Linked DNA regions of Styela clava. The protein of the gene in region 1 purifies or fractionates together with the protein of each later gene. This does not show direct contact. Links are inferred from orthologs where the notes say so. Each region holds a gene or a part of one and is shown in the gene's direction. Other genes may lie near its edges. The genes, in order: uncharacterized protein LOC120344534, uncharacterized protein LOC120325942 and GTP-binding protein 4-like.

What was found.
Region 2: the proteins of uncharacterized protein LOC120344534 (region 1) and uncharacterized protein LOC120325942 purify together in Homo sapiens (affinity purification with mass spectrometry; 3 studies listed by BioGRID and IntAct, with this or other methods). This does not show direct contact. The link is inferred for Styela clava from reciprocal best matches to the Homo sapiens genes LYAR and GNL2.
Region 3: the proteins of uncharacterized protein LOC120344534 (region 1) and GTP-binding protein 4-like purify together in Homo sapiens (co-immunoprecipitation; 3 studies listed by BioGRID and IntAct, with this or other methods). This does not show direct contact. The link is inferred for Styela clava from reciprocal best matches to the Homo sapiens genes LYAR and GTPBP4.

The regions. Positions count from the first base shown.
Region 1 is NC_135254.1:1,077,432-1,084,442, reverse strand, and holds uncharacterized protein LOC120344534, read left to right. Parts: upstream 1-4,112; 5' UTR 4,113-4,809; coding exon 4,810-5,946; 3' UTR 5,947-6,481; downstream 6,482-7,011. Other genes in the region: transmembrane emp24 domain-containing protein 5-like, read right to left, coding at 893-1,045; small nuclear ribonucleoprotein F-like, read left to right, coding at 2,190-2,305, 3,453-3,600. UniProt on the Homo sapiens protein: Plays a role in the maintenance of the appropriate processing of 47S/45S pre-rRNA to 32S/30S pre-rRNAs and their subsequent processing to produce 18S and 28S rRNAs. Also acts at the level of transcription regulation.
Region 2 is NC_135253.1:12,000,790-12,008,845, reverse strand, and holds the start of uncharacterized protein LOC120325942, read left to right. Parts: upstream 1-4,947; 5' UTR 4,948-5,125; intron 5,126-5,700; exon of another isoform or gene 5,701-5,724; 5' UTR 5,725-5,776; coding exon 5,777-5,840; intron 5,841-6,199; coding exon 6,200-6,293; intron 6,294-6,427; coding exon 6,428-6,522; intron 6,523-7,009; coding exon 7,010-7,143; intron 7,144-7,501; coding exon 7,502-7,615; intron 7,616-7,694; coding exon 7,695-7,832; intron 7,833-8,056. Other genes in the region: TATA element modulatory factor-like, read left to right, coding at 1-1,159; 2-oxoglutarate and iron-dependent oxygenase domain-containing protein 2-like, read right to left, coding at 2,085-2,348, 2,428-2,685, 2,935-3,159, 3,277-3,441, 3,729-3,878. UniProt on the Homo sapiens protein: GTPase that associates with pre-60S ribosomal subunits in the nucleolus and is required for their nuclear export and maturation.
Region 3 is NC_135252.1:23,062,005-23,069,273, forward strand, and holds the start of GTP-binding protein 4-like, read left to right. Parts: upstream 1-4,191; 5' UTR 4,192-4,212; coding exon 4,213-4,260; intron 4,261-4,626; coding exon 4,627-4,797; intron 4,798-5,674; coding exon 5,675-5,778; intron 5,779-7,269. UniProt on the Homo sapiens protein: Involved in the biogenesis of the 60S ribosomal subunit. Acts as a TP53 repressor, preventing TP53 stabilization and cell cycle arrest.

The DNA.
Region 1 (7,011 bases):
ATATGAAAAAATTGTCGAGCCAGGCCGATTAGAAGTAGGCTATATGTGGTACTAAACTATACCAGACCCCACTAGTATTTTTCAACACTTTTGTTGGAGTGGGATCTGAATGAAACATTTAGGAAGCTCGATTGATTCCTGTGCAGTAGCTCATCGAATAAAAGCATCATTCAATCATCATTATTTGAGTGAGTTGTCAGATAAGCGAAATTCGATTTGTTGACTGTTTTTTGCTAAGAACATCCAATTTTTTTTTTTTCTGCAAATTAAATTATTTTCTTCTGAAATCCTATAATGCCGTTTTTAGATTACGATTCTTTGGTTACTGCGCAGCTTCATTTTATTCTGTACTGATATCGCACTACTAAGACATGCTATCTGCTGATCTGGGAAAGAATCAGCATTTATCCTCTTTAAAATTCGACAATATTGCTCAATTCTGCAATTTGTTAAACGTTGCATACTCCGATACTGTTGTTCCCCAACATCAAGAAAAATATCTGTAACTAGTTAACCATTACAACGAGAATATCGGTCAGAGACCGAAGACTTATCAATCGAAAGTTAGGGGATCCCCCAAAACAGCGCTCTTACTCCATAGTGACACCTTGTGTCCCATCACTAATTAATTATTAACTCGCTAATTATACAACATAATTCATCCAAAATCAATAGGCTCCTAGTACGACATATGATGAATGCACATGCAAAATCTGGAGCAGATTCAATCTCGCTTTCATGAGATACCGGTATCGCTTGCATCTAACAGACAAACAAATACCTATCAACATACTTACCGATTAAATTCGATAAGTAATAATGATTAACACTGTTTTCGGCTTTCACCTCCCAGGATAAATACAAAAATAACATCCTATTGCTATCAACAAACCTGAAATTCAATGTCCATTGCACGTCCTGCTTTGGTTGTTTCATAAAAGCATTCTCGTTTCATCGGCGAAATTTGAACGGTAAAGTCGACATCCCGGTACCCGAATGATCCTGCTACAATTACAGACAAATAGAAAACCAATTTGATAAACATTTTGTCTATTTCGTCTCAACTTCAAACAGAAAAAACTCCAATCTATGCTGAACGCCGGCGTACGGGAAGCAAACGACACGAAATGCGGAAATGAGAGCGTAGGGTCAGGGGTTAAAGTTGAATTCTAGTCGTGGCAACCGCCTCGATACCCTTTTTCAAGATCTTCAAATTATCGTATATTTCTTGCGCTGTATTTTAATTTAAGATCTGGTATTACTTTTATGAATGTAATATGTTTATCTTGTGGACAAGATCTGCCACAAATCCCCTTCAAAAAATTTTATTGATTAGGGATCTCAAAACTGGGGGTCCCGACCACGCATCAATTCCCGCCATACCGGTGGGTCGCGAAATGACATAATGGTGGTCGCGGTAAAGAGATTTCAACACCAACTATATTAAAACAAAATATCGATTCAATGTGAAAGATTGATACGTATATTCGTCAAAATTTGATCTTTTGTGTGAGAATATGCGAGCATCGATCATATTGAATGTATCGTCAATTTTATTTTTATTTTTCAATGGTTTCTGTTTTATCAAATTTTAATTTTAGTACCTAAGGTCACAAAAAAAATTGGCCGTGCGAAGTGAGTCATTTGGAAAAAAAGTTTGAAAGAACATGGGTATGGATAAAGTGGACGTTTCGGATGTGTACGCTCGTGCGATAGGTATTATTTTAATTTTTTATCTACGAAATGAAACCATGGCTCGTTTTATTATTTTTCTGTTGTTATTATTAATTTTCTTGTTACTTTATGAAAAAATCGCTTTTCTCATTCACTAATGGACCTTGACTTTGAAATTATCATTATTACGATATAATAAGTTATACTTATACGATATTTTTCAGTTGTTTATTATTGCTATAATCCTATTTTACACGATTACAGGATTAGGATCAATTGGAGATTGAATAAATGAAATGCTCTTTATGTATATTGAGGTAGAAATAAAGAGCACGATATCGGAATTCAACGGAAAAGGTTGGGAACCACTGGACCATACAAATCCAATCAACGAAAGCAAGAAAAACCAGACTCCGTACACCACCGATAGAATCGCACGTTTGTCGCGAGTTGCTTTGTTGATTAGAATTCGTGTTTTCTAGTTTCTTTCCAGCAGATATCAGCAGAAAATCATCATGACTACGCTTCCTATGAACCCGAAACCATTCATAAATTCATTGACTGGAAAACCTGTCATCGTGAAACTGAAATGGGGAATGGAATATAAAGGATATCTCGTGTCTGTGGACGGGTAAGAACTGATTTATTTAGTTAACAGGATAAATCGGGCCTTGCCAAATAAAAGCTCAGATTTTATTTTACCCTGGAAGATAGGGAAACCGTTAGGACAGATAATCCTGTAATAATTGATGCGATGGCAAGCGTATCCATGGCTTTCAAAATGATGCATCAAACATAGCCGTTTCTTCACAACTTTTACCTTAAAAAATTAAAGTATGGCACAGTTCTACGATTCCAAGAATAACCTCCAACATTTAAAGACATCATTTAAAATAGTGACTGCAAACCTCTGGCACCTCTATATCACCACAAACTGGAATTACGCAATAAATTAAATGGAAGTGGAATCTAAAAAAATTGGAATCCACAGAAAAAAGCGCGGCGATGTGGCTCAACGGGTTAAGCGTTAGGAATACGGTCGCCACCACACTTCTAATTACTCTGCGTGGGTTCGCAGGTTCGAATCCCATGCAGAGATGGTTATGTGCGAGAGGATTGCTGGACTCCTCGCCGTCATTGGGTGGATCACGTAACCGCTGGTCGGTTACGGCTTCCTCCACCACCAAGTCCATGCTTCCGAAAACAAACAATATATCTAATCCCATACCCAACTTGGAATGGTAACCGGACGAGAGGCCGTGGCTCGCCATATGGATAAGCCGTCTTATCGGCTTTCCTCTCCCCCGGGATAAATATGTAAATCCTATCCTAATTTAATTTACCAAAGAAAAAAAAATTAGTTTAACATAGAATTCAAGAGTTTGTCGTCACGATTGGTTTATACTATTATCGCAACGAACATGAAACAATCTTACGCAACTGGCATTGTACGAGATGCCCTTATTTCAGAGACAAAGCGGGTATTTGTTTTATTGAACCAAATCTTGGAATCGTAGAACTTTGTTTCACTGCAATGTGCCAGTCGCTGAGCTGAGTGGTAGCAGTTTGTCATATGATTTTGTTGTCTCATCAAAATTCCTCTTTGAGATAAATATAAAAATGTCATATCTCAGTTGAAAACTTCAAATAATTTTTAAGTCTGGTTCCCCCTTTTCATGTAACAACTAACTGATTGTGGCTGGATTTCAGCCAATTTGACCGTTTTTTTTCTCCTGGATAAATCTTATCTCAAGTTAAAACTTTAAACAATATTCCAGGTATATGAACATGCAACTGGCAAACACAGAAGAATATGTTGACGGGGCTTTATCAGGACATCTCGGAGAAATATTGATTCGTTGTAATAACGTACTTTACATCCGGGGAGTAGAAGAAGATGATGAAGAAGGAGAAATGAAAGAATAATCCTCCCCGGGAATTCCTTTCTATACTGAAGACTTCCAAACCTAGATACAACACTTTTTTTTTTTTCGAAAAGAATCATTAAATTTTGAGCTTTTGGGACTTAGTTGAATGTCCGAATGTTTTATCTAATCATAAACTTCTCTGCCATTATGGCTTTTCTCGAGATCATTCATCCTCACGCCTTAGATTTTGTTCCAGAGTGAGAATTGATACCTTTTAACTTAATAAGTATGCCTAATGCTTTCAGAAATCTGCAGCATTAAGCTTGGACTTTTTATATTTTTCCCACTGGTTTGGTGATCGCATCTACGATGGTTTTTACATGGGTCATTATATCGAATTTCAATAATGGAAACATTGTCATATGTGTTATGTGAGCTGTTAAAAATGCTTAGTAAAATTGCTTTCGTCTTTTAAATTTTGTTTTTGACTTTTTGACTTGTTCTGATTTAAAGCATTTGACCTTATTACGACAATATATTTGAAAATGTGCTTAGGAATTCTTATTGGCCACCCTTGGTTTAAATTCATTTTCTAAACTAATTTCAACAGATTTTGCAAATTCACTCATTTTAAAATGTATTATGAATTGCAGATTATTCTTTTTGACCACCCTTGGTACAAATATCATTTCCTAAATTAATTCCCACAGGTTTTTTGAATTCACTGAATATAGATTGATTTTTATGTGTTCCTTGTTCAACATCATAATTCAGAATGTAATTGGTAAAGAATACTATTGGGTTTTGACCATTCATCAGTTTGTAACATTCTCTAACTAATCTAAATTATTAGATATCATTTCTTTTTTCCTGTCTAAAGCTCTGATGAGAGTAGAAATGTTCAACGGGGAGGAAATTCCTAAAATTCTTGTTTTTGGGACCAAAATCATAATGTATCTGGTATGACAGATTAAAAAAAGTTGATTTTTTTGGCAACCCCTGGGTTTAAGTAAGCCTTTGTTAAATAAAGCGTTTTCACCCAGTTGTTTGTATTTGGCGCTCTTTTTAAAGGTTGCACATCCCTGGTTTAAATAATATTTTTAAACTAATTCATTGACTTATTTGTGTTTTGGGCTGAGAATTCTGGCAACCCAGAAATTTTATTTTAAAATGTATTTGGAATAATAGTTTATTCATTTCATCATTTTTGCGTTTATTCTGTCCAACTTTTTTTCTAACTTTTAGACTTTAAATAATATTTTAGAAAATGGTTTTCTATACCTGCAGTGGCTGTGGAGAATCTTTAAAAAAAAACAAAGTCGAAAAACATGTTTATACTTGCCGCGGATGCGAATATTTAACCTGCATTGATTGTAGTTGTGATTTTTACGGCGACGATTACAAAAACCACACTTCGTGCATCACCGAAGATCAAAAATATTCTGCTAAAGGTACGGAATTTAAACCAAATAAAGGTGACGTTAAGCAACAAAAATGGCTTGATAATATTGACTCGATTCTGTCGGATTCTAACTCAAATTTGAGCTCAAAAGCGAAACAACTTATTGAAAATCTAAAAAACTACGATAATATTCCAAGAAAACGCCCAAAATTCCTCAATTTTTTGAAAAATAGTTTGAGAATGTATGATTCGAAACTTGGGGAGGAAATTTGGTCGGCTTTTTCTGCAGCAAACGGAAAAAATGATGTCAAAAATTGTAAAGGGGAGTCAAATGGGGATTCCCGGGAAGAAGAGGGTGTTAAAATAAAGGAAGTTGAAAAAACTGCTGAATCAGCAAAAAATGATTCCGAAATTGTCAATAAAAAAGATAAAAAAAAGAAAAAACTGAAATTGGATGAAAACGTTTCAAATAATCTTGAAAAAGATGAAATTTCAGCAGAAAAACCCAAGAAAAAAAAGACTTTGAAACATAAAAGAGAATTGAAAGACAAAAATGAGAGTTCAGTGAATATCTCGTTAAATGAAGACAATGAAAATGCTGGAAAAGAATGCGAAAACTCTCGTAAAATAAAGAAGAGAAAACTGGACACCACTGAAAATTCTGGAAAATCTAAGAAAAAGAAGAAAGATATAAGGAATTGTAAAGAAAACAATAAAATAGGAAAAACTGAAATTCAGAAAACCGATGAAAATAGTGGGAAGGATGAAATTATAATGAAAAGTGCTGATAATTTGGTGCTAAATCACGAAGAAAATGCTGCTATACTGAAGAAAAAAAAGAAGAAATCTAAAAAAGGCAGAAACGGACTCAAAAATGCTGATAATGGGATTACTGATGAAAGTTTGATAAAAATTGACAATTCGGAATTAAAAAATGTGGGAGTTGACTCGAAAATAAAGAAAAAACACAAAAAGAAAAAAATTAAAACCGAAGTTGATTGAGAAATATTTCTTTCTGCTCCTCCCTGCTTATTACCCACCAGCTATTTGCTCCGAGCAAAGCAATGGACAAGGCGAGTTCTCCGTACTTAGGGGCAAATTTTGAAAACAATATTGATTAAAAATTTTACATAGACATAATTGGTTTTTAGACTGGAAATCAACCATGGTTTGATCAGCAATATTTACCGAACTATTTTAAATAAAAGTTGAAAAAAAGTTGATGTTTTTTTCATATATTCTCAAAACAGTTATTTTCAATTTTTGGCTTCTTGGATTAAAGGCTTTGTATTGCTTATTGTGCTGGATCCAGTAATATTTCCTCTTTGAGTAGAGCTCTAAAGAAGAAGAAAAAATGATATATAATTCAGACTAGAGAATATTACCAATTACTAATTTTTTAAATAAACTTACCGGTACTAATAAATGGCCAAAACCTTATGATCCACTGTACTGAATTATAGGGCCATGTTTAAACAAAGAACACATAGAAGCCCATGTATCTACTGTTTCAAATGCCTTGAGGTAGAATTTACATATTTATCTTTTTTTTTGGGGGGGGGGGGGTGGTAAGGCAGCTTATTTGTGTGGGAAACCACGCCTCTCGTCCAGTTATCAGTCTATGTCGGGTATGGGATAACTTGACCAGGTATATGCTTCAGATTCATGGACTTGATGGTGGAAGAAACCGTAACTGACCGGCGGCGAGAAGTCTAGGACTTCTTTCGCAAATAATTAACATTTTATGTTGACAATATACTCAAAACGAAGGTGATGCTATTTAATGCGATATCTGTACTTGTTCACCATTAACTGTTCCCAATTTGGAGATATGGCGGAAAGTGATACACGTAGCGTGTATCTTACATCCAGCCTACTTCAATATTTTGTTTTTGTAGTTGTCAATATTAAAAACTTGGCCTCACATAAATACGATGTCGGAAAAGGTAACAAAAACTATCAATGTCTGTAAAGCTCCTGTAGCTATGGCTGGGTATTGATTGATGTTTGTTTAGCCATAACAAATTTTATTACAAAATATGCTACCGTAAAAGCGCCTAACTTCGG
Region 2 (8,056 bases), on another chromosome or scaffold:
TCAAAAACAATTATTATTGCTTCAAATAATGGAATTGAATAACACTGTGTCAAGGTCTGAAGCAGCGGCATCCAGAAAAGATGACGATCACAGGAGAGAAATAAGAGAATTACAACAGAGGATACAAGAATCTGAGGGACGCAATCAAGACTTGAGTGATAATGTTTCAAATACTACAAGGCCCCTCCTGAGGCAAATTGAAAACCTTCAGGCCACTCATTCATCGCAACAACGTTCATGGAATGCGCTTGAGAAAACATTGAACAATAGATTAGGGGAAGCACAAGCTGAGTTATTAACTGCCCGGGAAAATGAAAGAATTGCACAGAATGGTGCCATTGAAGCAAAATCAAAAGCATCTGCCTATGAAAAACAAGTTGAAAGTGCTCAGAACACTATATCTCAGCAACTTAAGGAAATAGATATATTGAAAAATAAAGTTGATGAATACAAAACTCAAACATCTCTGGTTTCTGAGGAATTGGAAGAATTGAGAATTTTACAAAAAGAAACTGTACACAAATCTAGAAAAGAACGTCTTTTCTTAGAAAATCAACTACAAATGGAAAAGGTACGATTGGAAGCGGAACGAAAAAAATTTGCATCACAGCATGAAGCACTTCAAAAAGAGAAAGAGAGAATGATGTGGAGTAGATCTGAGATAACTTCTGTTTCCAGCAATCAGCTTGTTGAAACCGAGTCAGTTGGAAGCTCAAATGATGCATTCCATTCTACTGAAACATTTGACAAGCATATGAGCTCTAATTCTCTCCCTACATTAGCTAGTCAATTGTCATTAGACTCTGGAAAGCCCATGTCCTCGTCAAATGTTTTAGAAAATCTTCAGACGATGATCAAGCTTCGTGATGGTGAAATAGCTCAGCTACGAGGTGACATTAACATGCTTGAAAGAACTAGATCATCAATGGCTGAAGAAATAGTTCGATTAACAAATTTAAATGAAGATTTGGAAGGTGTTTCCAAGGAGCTCCAAACCATGAAAGATAAACTTGCTGATGTTGAAGGACGTTATTCTGCAATCTTAACCATGTATGGAGAAAAGGAAGAAGAGAATGAAGAGTTGAGGATGGACCTAGCGGACGTAAAGGCAATGTATCGGCAACAAATTAATGATCTTTTAAAAGTGGATCCATCATGACCAAAAGTTTATTATACATAATCCTGTGATTACTGCATATTTCGAGTGGATAAAATCCGTCATTCAAGTTTTGTTTGAAGCTGGCATTGATAACCTTGACAAGTCTTTGTATACAAGCTGAAAACACTGATGCAAGTTTTCAAATAGAACACTATAGATTTATAATGCTTTTGTTAGAGACAAAACTATAGCTAATTGTTTAGAGAAATATCAATGCAATTTTTTATAGAAGCCGATAAGATTGCCAAATGCTTGTTAGGTAATTTGTTGTTCACTGAAGCATTTTGTATCAGTTGGTCCAATTATTATTCGCATTGGTATCCATATGGTGATTGCTTATATATTTATTCATCGGTGGCATTGTTTTATATTTTTATTATTATAATTAATGCTTTATTCTTCCAATGTCAGTGTAAACAGGCTAGCACTTCGAAAGCGAGCTTTTTTTCCAGCCCAGTCCGCAATACGACTATACCACAAGTGCAATGCATTGATTTGATTTTGCACCTGTGGCACGGTTCAGTGGTATCTGCAACGAATCGACGATTGCATACTTTTATCCGCAATTGGTGTGCTTGTGTGTGCAATAACTGATAATCATCCACAGACTAGATAGAATTGACGGGCTGCTAGAATCATAAAATAATATTCTCAGTAGACTCTCTTCGCAGATAATAATGAAACCCTTTTATGCTTTCTATTATAAATGAATATATTTATTGCAATTAATTATTTAAAAATACTTAGCAAAAGCAATTGAAGGAAACTGTAGCAATGACACGATTTAAGTAGGCTGTGGGCCTCAAGCTAAACCTTTTTCTAAAATACATTTGAAAAATACCTTTTCTAATTTGGAACATTCTTAAATTTGATTAGCCACGCAGCTTTTCACATTGTAGTATTTGATTAAGTGTGGCACGAGTCGCTAATGTAAACTGCATACTTGCACTGTTAGTGTGTCATGTCTTGTAAATCCATCACCAAAGCCAATAGCAGGTGCGAGTGTGGGTTTGTTATCACACATAGGGCAAAGCTGGTTTCTAATTGATGAAGATCTCATCCATATAATCAAGTTGGTTCTTTCGCCATATGAAATGGGCATGGCACCATGTTTGTGTTGTCCTCTGTGTAACACTCCTTCACCAACTTTGTGTTTGACTTCCACAGTCTTGTCAGACCTATTGCATTCCTGTTGAACAAAAAAACTAATAATCCCTCTTTTGGCAGAATACGAAAGAATGGGCAACTATTATTATTCAAACCCATACCTGCCTCATTGAACCAAAATATAGGCTTCCATCATCAAAATCTTTTCCAAGGCACACATTCAAGGTTACCTCTGCATTATCATAATGATATCCCAAGTCTAAATCTTGATCTTCTTTATAATTGACTGTAAACGCTTTATGAGAATCTAGTTTTTCATCCACCCAATCCGGGAATAGAATCTTCGCAATAGGGTCAAGGTAACATTCACGCAGCGGTGTAATAAAATCCTCATTGAATCCTAATTCATCAAGTAGAATCTGAAAAGCGGGAGATTTAGGCTTGTTATAAATTAATAACAACTACAAGAAATCTGATACCAATGGTACTTGAAAATTTCCACAAACTACTAAAAATTTTGCCAATTCATTGCCTCCATATCGAAAGCGTTTTCCTAGTAGATGGTGGTGATTTTGGCCAATGCAGATACGGAAAAACTGTCGGTAAGCATGCGCGTTGTTTTTTGCGCATGTGGCACCTTGCACACTGTTGGCATTTCTAATACTCACTCCACCATTATTCATTGTGTTTGGACGACCTTTTGGCATATTGCTACTTTCAAAATTGTTAAGTTCTTCTGCTAAGTTTTTGCAAAATGTCTTCTTAAAAACTGGCAATCGATATACGCCTTCTACTTTTTCTTTCTTCAATTTTTTCGACAAGCTTGCAAATGTGGCATTTCCTTCTTTAGCATGCTTGACAATGGCCAGAAATTCTTCTTTCAAATATTCTTCCTAAATTAAGAAGATTTGATACTCAATATGTACTTGATGCAATTGTATTTTTTTTATTCCTGTTTTTGGACATTTTATTGCAATAATATATCATCTGATGCATATATAACATCATACCTTCAAGACATTCACTTTGTGCAAAGGTGCATAACAAGCCTTGATTTTACTCTTCCGTTGTACTGATTGTGCATCTATATTTTTTCTTCTTGTACTCTCTTTTTCAAGTACAAAAAGCAGTTTATTCTTCTTTTCTGGGGTGGAACACCCTATTTCCTCTAAGAGCTATAAAAAAAGAGGCTGATGGTATAAATAAAATCAAAGTTCAATTGATAGTATTATACAAGATTACATATAAACAAAACTGAAATTTAGAAATCATGGAGTGGACAAAACCTTGGGTATGTTTTAAAATAGAAGCATAAACAGAGATTCTTCGCTCACTTACCAAATATAAAGGTATGTATATACAAAACAGGAATGAAATTGGGTCAATATTGAAGTATTATCTAAAGTTCTTGCCCCAAACCAGCAAACAATATAATATTTGGACACCTGACAAATATACTCACTTTAGAATTTTGCTGAATAAATTCTTGACCGTTATCTTCAAACTCAAAATGTTTCCCATATTCAGCAGAGTAGAAATTTCTGGTAAAATAACATCTGCAGCGGAAGAAAACACTAGGCTCTGAGCCAACGCTCATGGTGAATTGTGCCATTACCCGGTTAGTTCAGTAGGTTGCACCGAAATTGTAACAGTGTCATTTTTTCTTTTGTTAGTTTGTTTAGAGTATTTTGAATTAAATGCAGCATACCGAGATATATATATATATATACCATTGAGGAGTTAAGTCTTGAATGAGTCTTGTTTAGCCATGTATGTAACAAACCGGACACACCATGTCCGATTTTAAATTGACTCCTGCGTTATTGCAGCTACCAAACGGCATGTTCCTGCGTTCATCTCTGGGTTATGTAACCATTGATTGATGACTGTCAATGATGTAATTGTAACTTATACCTCCAGAGTGGTGTTCATCATCTCTCACCAGGCATCCGGCTGCTGGGATTGATATCATGAATCGTATCAAAATAATAGATACCGGTAGGCTAACCTGGAGAAAGTTAAAAAAAAGTGGTTTGGGTACGACCGTGCGGTGCCTGTACCGGTAATGGATGAATGTGTTCGTATGACTGTATGAATATATATGCAGTTTTTGGTGATTTTTTGTTTGTTTTATAGTGGTACGGTACCGGTATTGGGTTCTGTCTGGCTGTGTAGTTTCGTTCCTACAGACCTAAAGTCTGAAAGTAGCCTACTTCTAGTGGTGGTAGCATAACATTCTTTGCATATATCAATCCCAACCCCCACCTGACTGTGTCATATATGGCTTAGTCATGGTGGGGTTGTATGTATGTATGTTTATTCGTCTCGTAAAAGCAATATAAAAGAGTAAGTAATTATAAATACTGAAGACGGGATGTATGCACAAGACCATATTGGCCTAAAACACAGATCTGCGGCATACACCCCTTTTGATATATATAAATTATAATAGGGTAAATCAAATATGTACAATATGGTCCTTTATACAGGCAGTTGTGCAAGGAGGGTGGGTGGATGTCAGGATGTGGTAACAGGGATAAGGGTGGAGTGTACAAAACTGTTTGTACAAAGGAGTTTGTTAGACAAAACAACATCTATAAATAAAGACACAACACAACATGAAATACACTGGCATATGAATATAGTAATAAAAAATTTTTTTTTAAAAAATTAAGAATTTGGATGAATGTACAACACCATTGAGTGATGATACCACATACTATAAAACGCGGGAATAGTTAAGTTTAAAGGGTGTGTACATATATGGTATGCACCACTCAAGGGCGATAGTGTTATAAGTGGTCTATGGCTGTTCTGGCCAAAATGTGACCCTACAGGTTTTGGTGAAATATGATAAAGGTATGTATCAGGTATGTATATGATAAAGGTATGAGATTGATCGTTACTAGAAATACTTGAGGTACGAAACTACACAGGATTTCACGCTTTGGCGCTTTTTTTAACCTGCACTTGAATTTTTTGAAATGGTTCGAAGTTGTATGTAAGTTGAATTGTCCCAACCTCACAGTTGAGATATTTTGAAAATATTCAATGTTTTCCGTTTTTTGGTATTTTTTCATGTAGTTATTGTTTTACATTCAACTCTTGTACAACTGTACAATGAAAATAAATATCTGAATCCAGCCCTATTTTGCATCTAAAATTGAACCATACCGGTCCTATTAGATGACTGTATATTAAATATAGAGACCTAAATCCACTTGGACATGTATATCTAATATTTGTATAGCCTTTATCATTGTGATAGTGTACGTGTTATTTCAATATGATTGTATATATATAGCCCTCGACATTTTTATTTAATCTAGATGTAATTTTTATACACTTAATACAGTAATAGCGATACAAGTTTTATTGGCATTTCTGTACCAGAAATTTCCATTTCCAATAAATCCTATTAATTATAATCATGTATTCAGTATAAAGTATTATTCTAGGACAACAGGACAATAATACTTTACTAATAGTTTTGATTTGTAACAACAAAAAATGGCCAAAACTAAGAAAAGGAATGAAGGAAGGATAAGGAAATCTGCATCTGGAGATAATCCAGGTATGTACATCAATGTGCAAAACTCTTAGGAATAGCATGTTTCTATCAATAGTACGCCATTTCTGAACTGAAACTAAGCTATCTAATATTTTAATATACAGTATTCGTATGTTCAATTGGCAATCCAATTTATACTGGTTCGAGAATGCAAAATACGCAATTACTACTTTATTATTTGGGTATATGGATCCTATAGCACAAATAATTATTATCATGTAATTCCTCTTGTTTTCGAATTATCCAGATTTTGGGATTAATTTACCATATTATGTCCATTTCACCCTAGATTCAAATTTAAGTACAGTGGATATATACAATTGTGAATAAATATATTTTTGTGCCTTCTTAAAAATATACAGACCGAGCTAAAGAAGTTGGCAAAGGAGGTCAAAATATGAGAACAAAGGCAACAATAAAGAGACTTAATATGTACAGAGGTGGAAAGGCTGTGAGGTAAAGTCTGATTTTGATTAATTAATGTCTATAATGGTTACCACTAATTTGAAACTATGTTTTTATTTCTTCTTATTGCACATTTAATTTAACTCATTTGTAGCTCGTCTCATTTATAACATCAATCTTTCTAGAAATCGTAAAGGAAAAATTGTGAAACCTCCTGAATTTCAAGGAGAGCTTCCATCTGGTACACAAGCACGAGTGGAACCAAACCGAAGATGGTTTGGTGAGTTTGAATAAGTTTATACTTCATTTTAAACTGTCTTATTTCACTGAGACATGAAGAACACATATTTTACTCAATAAATAGAATTTTAATCTGGCAATTGTTAATAATTTTATGATAAAATTAGTTTGTCTAATTTATGAACTTTTTTTTTGTGGAGGTGTGACATAATTGCCCTTAAAACAAACAGTCATTATTTATGACAACCACTATATTTTTTGAAGAAAGGAACAGTTGCGTATATTTCTGGTCTCTCACAGTTTGTTAAATTTTATATAATATTTATATGTTTATGGAAATATGGTTTGGAACAGGTTTATAACATATTAATCAGTATTAGTAAGGCCTCGGCTCGCGACACTGTCCAGAATTAGGCTGTTGAAACATTGGGCCAGGTCAGCCCTTATTCATAAATTCTTTGGGAAGTTTTGGAATTAAGATTATTACTTAATTGTATGGGCTATAAGAGTTTTGTATTCTATTGCAGGTAACACAAGGGTCATCGCTCAAAAAAATCTTCAGAGATTTCAGAAAGAAATTGGAAATGTTATGAAGGATCCATATCAACTTGTGTTAAGAACTGGGAAATTACCAATGTCATTATTACATGACAGAGCCAAGGTAATAATTTATTTTGTGTGTGATTTTGAAAATTGAACAAAAAATGAATAACTTTTTTAAGGAGAAATCACAAAAATTTTAGGTGTACGAGTATTTTGTTCAGCATTTTATTGCTTCAAATCACCTTAATCCATATATACTGGGGCCGATAGTGACATCATACTTCCAAGTTCCATATAGTTTTAGTTGCATCTGGTATTACTTTTCTTCACTTCAGAAGAAGCCGGTTGGACCTTTCTTGGGCACATTAGTAATGAATATCTGAAATTTTAATTATGCCAAACGAAACTTACACTATTAAGCCAGTAACAAACTGAAAAGTCACTGTACCTAACAAATTCAATTTTTTCTTATACAGAATGCTCGGGTACATATTCTTGACACTGAAAGTTTTGGGTCAACATTTGGGAAGAAATCAACTAGGAAACGTCCTAGTTTAAAATTTACAGATTTAGAATCGTTGTCTGCTGAGGTGAGATTATTTTTAGGTAGAATTATCGAACATGTTCTAATCATCTAGTATTTTTTTGAATTACATCTTTTTCTTCCAGGTTGAAAAATCGTCAGATCTCTATAAAGAAGAAAAAGATTTGGATTTAGTACGAGAGGATGACGGGACAAAAAATGTTGTTCTTGGTGCGTACTTCACTGCTGGGCAGTCTAAGCGCATTTGGAATGAACTGTACAAGGTATGATTATATTCAGAACAAGAACAGGAGTATGAACCACAGTGTGCTACTGAAGGAATGTTGAATGATGTTTGGTATCATTTAGCTATTCTAGCTAGATAGCATGATGTTAAGATTTTGGTTGATAGTGTGGAAGTGCTCTAGTGGGTAAAGCTTCAAATTTGATTATGATGACATCAAGAGGTATTATCTGGGGTTCTAATCCCATGCCCACTACCTCACCC
Region 3 (7,269 bases), on another chromosome or scaffold:
GCATCAGGCGGCCCTATTGAATTACCCAACGGGCCGGATTTGGCCCGCGGGCTGTACTTTGCTCATGTCTGGTCTAGACTATAGTCTAGCATATGCAGAACCGGAATCCGTCCTATTCAATTCTGTTGAGACATGTTCATTGTATTGCCGATAATTTTATTCTTCTATTCAATTATTTTGAAAGTGTTTTTCAGATGTATTCAGTATTGTCAAGATGTTTCGAAGCAATTTTAATTATTGTATTGTATGTTGCCGATAATTTTATTGTGCCATTCACTAACATTGAAATTATATTTCACTTGAATAAGACAATATATAGAAATTAGCGGAAATTTGATACAAATGGCGGTAAACCTTTCAATTTTTTTTCAATTAAAATAACGCTAGATGCAAACGTATGTTTTACAATTCGTTCTCCTCATTTCATTATTGAATATGTTATCTATCGAACACGTAACGAAGCTGTCTTACCCTGGCCTCCTTTCCGCGAGATAAATATGAAAATATCATCCTATGTAAACCCGAAACGAGTCCACCCCGCTGTCGTAAACCCGAAACGAGTCCATGCATCTGAAATGTGTGCATCGTGCTAAGCGTTAGAACAGCGTTTCCCAGCCTTTCTTGGTCGCGGACTGTTTTCTCACTGGCGAAAACCTTTGCGAACTTAAGGAGCATTTATTGCAACCGTACTCTTTGTGAAGAAGCAATAAAACCGAACATAACATAAAATTCGGAAATTCGCGCATTTACGCGTTCGTTAAAAGAGCCGACTTTTTAGTGTGTAATGGCGGTTTCTGTCGCACAATATTCAGTCCATGACGACGACGAGAATTTAAAATGTCTTTCTATTCTAATTTATTGTGTTCATGGTGGTAACTCGCCGTTGCGTCGACTTACGACAAGATGAAAACATTACTTCTTTAAAATGCCACGGCAATCTGCGAACATAATAATGTGAGAATATATTGCCCGATTATATTTAGTTTTGATACGTAGTTTTTGCGATCTCGCGAATTTGTTATCGCCGTTAGAAAAATTATACTTTCTGCTGTAAAGTTCCAGATAGTACAACTTGATTTAGCACTTAAATTATATTTAAAGTTTATTAGTAAATCAAAAATACATATTCATCACCTTGCTTTACTATTAAGTTAATTGTGATGATTTTAATATGCAATTGTGTTGACGAAATAAAAACAATACTAATCAGAAAATATTAATATGGTAAAGTGCCCGATTATATTTTGTTTTGATTTGTATTTTTGTGAATTCGACAAATCTGAGCTGTTCGTAGGTCGTACAACACTTACGGCGCTCCAGTACTGTATGTACCAATGTGGAGACTAAGGCAAAGAATCCTGAGGTAAATGCCCTGGTACGTATACCACGGTAGCACCCGAAATTTGGCGATTTGCAATGTTCAAAAAAGCGTTTTTAATCGGTCGCGGATAATCATAAAACAAAACTGATGGTGTTATCCGTTTTATTTTTAGTGTTTTGTATTGCCGCTTTTCAATTTAGAAAATTTGCGTTGCCACCATTGACACCTACCAAAAAAGAATGATTCCTCGTTGTTCCAACTCGCGAACTCTATCGAAGCGTGAGCAGACTCGTGTTTACGTTGGAAGGTGTTTTCGTCACCTGGTACTAATAGTTGAATATACTCATTAACCAGTAATTATTGACTCGAAATGTTATGTGAATAAACTTGACATTTATGTTTTATGTAAATTCTAATGTAAATCGTAACTTGTCTGATAGTTAGTTTCGCAAAGACGTTTGCGACCAGCAGTGAATTTCTGGCTCGTTGCGGACTCATTCAAACGCTTCGCGGACTCATTTGAGACCGCGGACTCGGGTTAGGAAACCCTGCGTAAGAAAAACACGCTTCGCCACCGCACCTCTAATTACCCTACGTGGGTTCGCAGGTTCGAATCCACGTAGGGTAATTATGTGCGAGAGGATTAATTGCTGGACTCTCCGCCGCTCTATCGGTTACGATCTCCCCCACCATCAAGTCCATGCTTCCGAGAACAAACATCTGGCCAACTGCTTACATATTCGACATGGACTAGTAACAGGACGATAGGCCATGCTTCGCTCGATCAATCAATCATTTATTTACATTTACATTAACCGGCTTCCTCCACCATCAAGTCCATGCTTCCGAAAACAAATAACTGGCTAACTAATCCCATAGTCGACCTGGACTGGTAACCGGACGAGAGGCCGTGGTTCGTCCTATAATTAAGCCGTCTTATCGGCTTTTTTCTCCCCGGGATAAATATGTAAATCCCCTCCTATCCTACCCTATTTCAGTAGGCTACTCTGACATAAAAACAAAACGGCACAAAAAGTAGACAGACAAACGAAATGTAGAGATACCTAAAAGGCGAGCATCACTTAAAATAAAGTTAAAAAACACTTTAGCTATATTATATGATTTCGTCTTTTTATCGGCTTTCCACTCCATCGGGATAAATGTAGATCCCATGATGAGATCTACATTCCCATCCTAAATTCCACAATGTCACACATGAATAGGTACTGATTACGCAATCGATTCGGCGATCTGTGTTCCGCGTGTTAGGTTTTTAGGCCCGAGTTTCAGGTTTTGCTATGCTATTTCTATATTTTCGAAAACTGGAAATTGAGTGAGCTTAGTGTATCCGAGTGTGAACAGATATAAGTTTTTCATCGTGAACGGGAATCTAAATTCAGCCATTCCTTACTGGCCTATCTGGCTACTTTTCAGCCTTATTAATTGAGACCCACCGAGTGTTTATGTTACACAAGTTTTGTCTTTTTATTTTGAATAGTTGTTTGTGTGCTGTGGGTAAACTGGCGCATGTATATTTACTTGTGTTAAACCTTTATAAAGGTTTCCCCGATTTTCCCAATCTTCTGTGTCAATGTGTGTTCATTGTTTGTGTTTTGTGTATGATTTTTTTTGCGGAAAAATCGAAATATACTTACTGGTATACTTACAGTCTACCGTACTTCTGGCAGTCTGGCCTGAATGCTAAAATGACTTAACGTTACCGGTAGGTACGACTTAGCCCAGTTACCAGTGCCGACGTTTTTTTCGGTCAACAATCTTACCATGGTCAATCTTACCACTGTCTGACTGTACCACGGCCTATTCCTGGAATATAATTTGATGTTGGTTAGTAGCGGCAGTGTGGCTCATCATACAATTCTCTTGTAGTTTTGTACCTAACTCACTTCTAGTGGGCGTAGCATGACCATTTTTTAATATGTCAATCCTAACCCCAATCTGAAATCTGGCCGTCCAAAGCTTACGTCAGTAGACTACAACATCACAAGCACGTCATAGAGCTTGCCAAATATACGTACGATCACCCGAAATAGCATCGTTGCCGACGATAGAGAACTAACGTCATCGAGCTCTCTCATATTGAGATCGTCGCGACGAGAAAACAAGAGAAATAGCTGTTTGATTTCGGGTGCTCGTCTGCGTGCTTTGAATGACAATTCGTATAGTTTGAAGAGCTCTATTCAGCTATTACGTCATAGTGACATAATTTTTGGATTGTGTAGTCATGTCAGCATGTGGGGGTTAGGATCGAAACATGAAAAAATTGTTATGCTACGCCCTCTAGAAGTATGTTAGGTACGAAACAACATGAGACTCCATTATGCTAAGCGTTAGAAATACGCTCGCCAGACCTCTGATTACTCTGCGCGGGTTTGCAGGTTCAAATTCCATGCATGGACGGTTATGTGTGAGAGGATTGCTGGACTCCTCGCCGTCGTTGGGGGTTCACGTAACCGCTGATCGATTAGGGCTTCCTCCACCAGTCCTGAAGTCCATGCTTCTAAAAAACAATTTGTCAAATAACTAACTAATCCCATACCAGACATGGAATGGGAATCGGACACGAGGCCGTGGTTCGCCATATGGTTAGGCCGTCTTATACTTTCCTTCCCCCCGGGATAGGTATGTAAAACCTATTTTAATCCTATTCAATTTGTCACTGCAAAACTACCTACCCGTACGGTATTCTGTTATGTTTTTGCACTTTTTGCCAAGAACGCAAAAACCTTTTACATGTCTTATGATGGTACGGAAAGAGACGCTCATTTCACAGTTTTAGCGTTTAGCCAAATATAGTCTACTCTGCCTTAGGCATATTGTCTCTATGAAGCATGTAATACAATTTCTTTGTTTTTTTCAGCATAAAATTAAAAATGGCTCTGTATAATTTCAAAAAGATCACAGTGGTGCCATCATCGAAAGTAAGTATAGAATATGGGAATAGTTCAGTATGATATTTCAAGAATAACCCTCGCATTGAAAGACATTAATTAATTATAATAGTGAGAGCAAACTCCCTCTTTACATGACAGTATAGGCCTCCATAGCGGCATAAATCGGCAAACCAGTTTTGCGCAATAAACTGAAAGTAAGAGCAATCTAAAAACTTCACCATTGGATTCTTTGGAACACTGGAACTTCTGTTTGTGCATGACACTTTGCACAAAAGTTACGTTCTCTACAGAATAGTTTCTAAATGACATTGGATCATTTTTAGGTTACTCTGTACTCTCAAGCTAAACTCATTCTCAATTTCTTTACTAATCTTTCCTTACTTATTTTCACAGGACTTCATTGACATCACATTATCAAAGACACAGAGAAAAACTCCAACTGTAGTTCATAAAAGTTATCCGATCTCCAGAATACGAGCGTTTTATTTACGGAAAGTTCGATACACTCAACAGAACTACCATGATAGATTGAGTCTGATTCTTACAGAGTTTCCTAAACTTGAGGTATTTTTATTATTATTAATTTTGAATATTGATACAGGGATGGATAAAATTGAGTGATTCATTATTTTAAGACGCTTCGCTCAGAATGATTATTTTTTGATAGAATTATTCAAGCTATGGCACCGTAGTATAAGTACCAGGTTAGGTTCCGATTCTCCTTACGAATTCAGGAAAAATCTGTGTTAGCAAAGTGAATATCCCCTGCCAATAGGTTTCAGTCCCTTCGCACAACTTGATGTGAAGTAGGCGAAAAAAATTAGTTACCTTCATATTAGTACACATACTTTTGGAGCGCCCAAGCTATTCTTAAAATCTAGAATTTAAAATATTGAATATAATTAATTTCAGGATGTTATTCAGAGCAGAATAGAAGTATATTTTGAAACACGCTTCATTTCCAACTAGTATAATTTTTGATTAAATGCTTTGGTTGATCTTTTTAACTGGTTCAACATAACCCAAAATTTGTCAAAAGTTTTTATAGATATCGTATATAATTTTGCGTTAAAAGTTTCGAAAAAAATAACGAATCATCGGCTAAAATATAGACTGTAATTCCAATGTATTATCTGCACCTAAATATAAGGCGCCACTTGCTTCGCTTGTTGTTTGGTATTTGTAAATAAACTTTTTTTTCATAGGTTTTTATTTGTAAATAACATTTTTTTATAGGTCCATGTTGAGTTTTGAGTGTCCTGCCCAGTGACCAAGTCTGTTATCTGTAAATGGTCCACTCAAAAAAGTAATCGCCCGTCTCTGGATTATGGTATTCTCATTTATCATTTTAATACTATCCCATTTAAGCATCCTTGTGGCAACTGCAAAGTTGATACAGACTAAATATTACCTTTATTCATCTCTTAATTTTTTTTTTCAGGATGTCCATCCATTTTATGCAGATCTAATGAACGTTCTCTATGACAAGGACCATTACAAACTTGCTCTCGGACAAATCAACACTGCCAAACATCTTATTGACAAGTAAGAACGTTGGCTCTAAAACTGACATGGACATTGAGGCGCAATTCTTACCACTTCATGGCAGCTCCCGCCAAAACAAACCGCGGCGTTTTTCGCCATGGTTTTATGGCGCTATTACTCTATATTTACTTAAACCTAGCCATACCTCAAATTAATCAAAAACTGTATCCATACGGAAAATGGGGGCTCCCGAAGTATGCGAACCAAGATGGCGGACATCGGAATGTAATATGTGTACTAGGTTAGGGTTAGGCCATAATTTTAGGTATAAATAATACGGGAGGCTCTTGGCTAGTCTTCGAACTGATAATTGGACTAAAATAAGGAAAATTGGAAAAAAATTATCGCCTAACCCTAACCTGTTACCCATGTTACGTTCCGATGTCCGCCATCTTGGTTCGCATACTTCGAGAGCACCGGAAAATGTTCTAACTTACCCAAAGTGTGTCATCATCAGGGGCAGTCCCGCCATTACAGCCTACATCCCTGGGTTCACACAATTTTACCAACCATGGTTTTCAATTTTCTGTTGTGATACACCACCTCACGCCCTTCGTTCGGGGACTGTGGCAGCTAAAAAGTCAGCTGCCCTGGCCTGACCTTAGCGGCCATGGTTTGGAAATCTTGCAATGGTTTTGCGGCATCTTCAGACGCCACAAGGTGCTTAAAACTGCACTTGTGGACACTGGACAAACTCCGGCGGCCCTCGTGTCAAATCCGGCCTGGTGGGTTATTCAATCTGGCCTGCCTGATGCTACCACAACCGAACTAAAACCAAATTTTTATATTGTTTCACTCAAAAATAGTTCACGAAATTTGTTGATATTGCGATTAAATTTAGTTTTGACACGAGGCTTATTGTTTTCTACTTTCGTAACACACAAATATTGTTCATAAAATTAACACAATTTGAATGTATTCGAATATTTGATTCATTTCAAAATAGTTCAAAACTTTGTTTTTTCTTTTTTCGTTTTAGATACCGCCATTGGCCAATTGTTAGGTCAATAATCAATATGACAGTTTTGGCATGTTCAATTATACCTGTATCCTATTTATACATACCAGCATCGGGCCCTTGCAGGTGCTCCACTCTTTTGGCCCTCGAATATCCTTTATACCTTCCAATTTTGGCCCCGATCAGCCAACTTTGGTCCACTGTGCCTACCACATGACACTATTCATACGTAGTTATTAGAGGTAAGATCTGGCCCAAAAATTTCAGCCCGACCCGAACTCGACTAATTAACTGGATTTGCAGGCCCGAGCCCGAAGCAAACCCAAAATTTCATATTTTATTTAGGATTTCATTGAATTGTCATCGCAAGAGTTTTGTAAAGTATGTGTCGTGTTGATGAGGCAACTTCTGTTTTTTGCAGACCACGATTTCTCGTAGCCACAACACGGCCGAAACGCCTCATTTTAAAAAAAAAGTCGGCGATAGAGTAGCCCCACCGAACCCGACCAGAACGTAATGATTGACATTTCAGG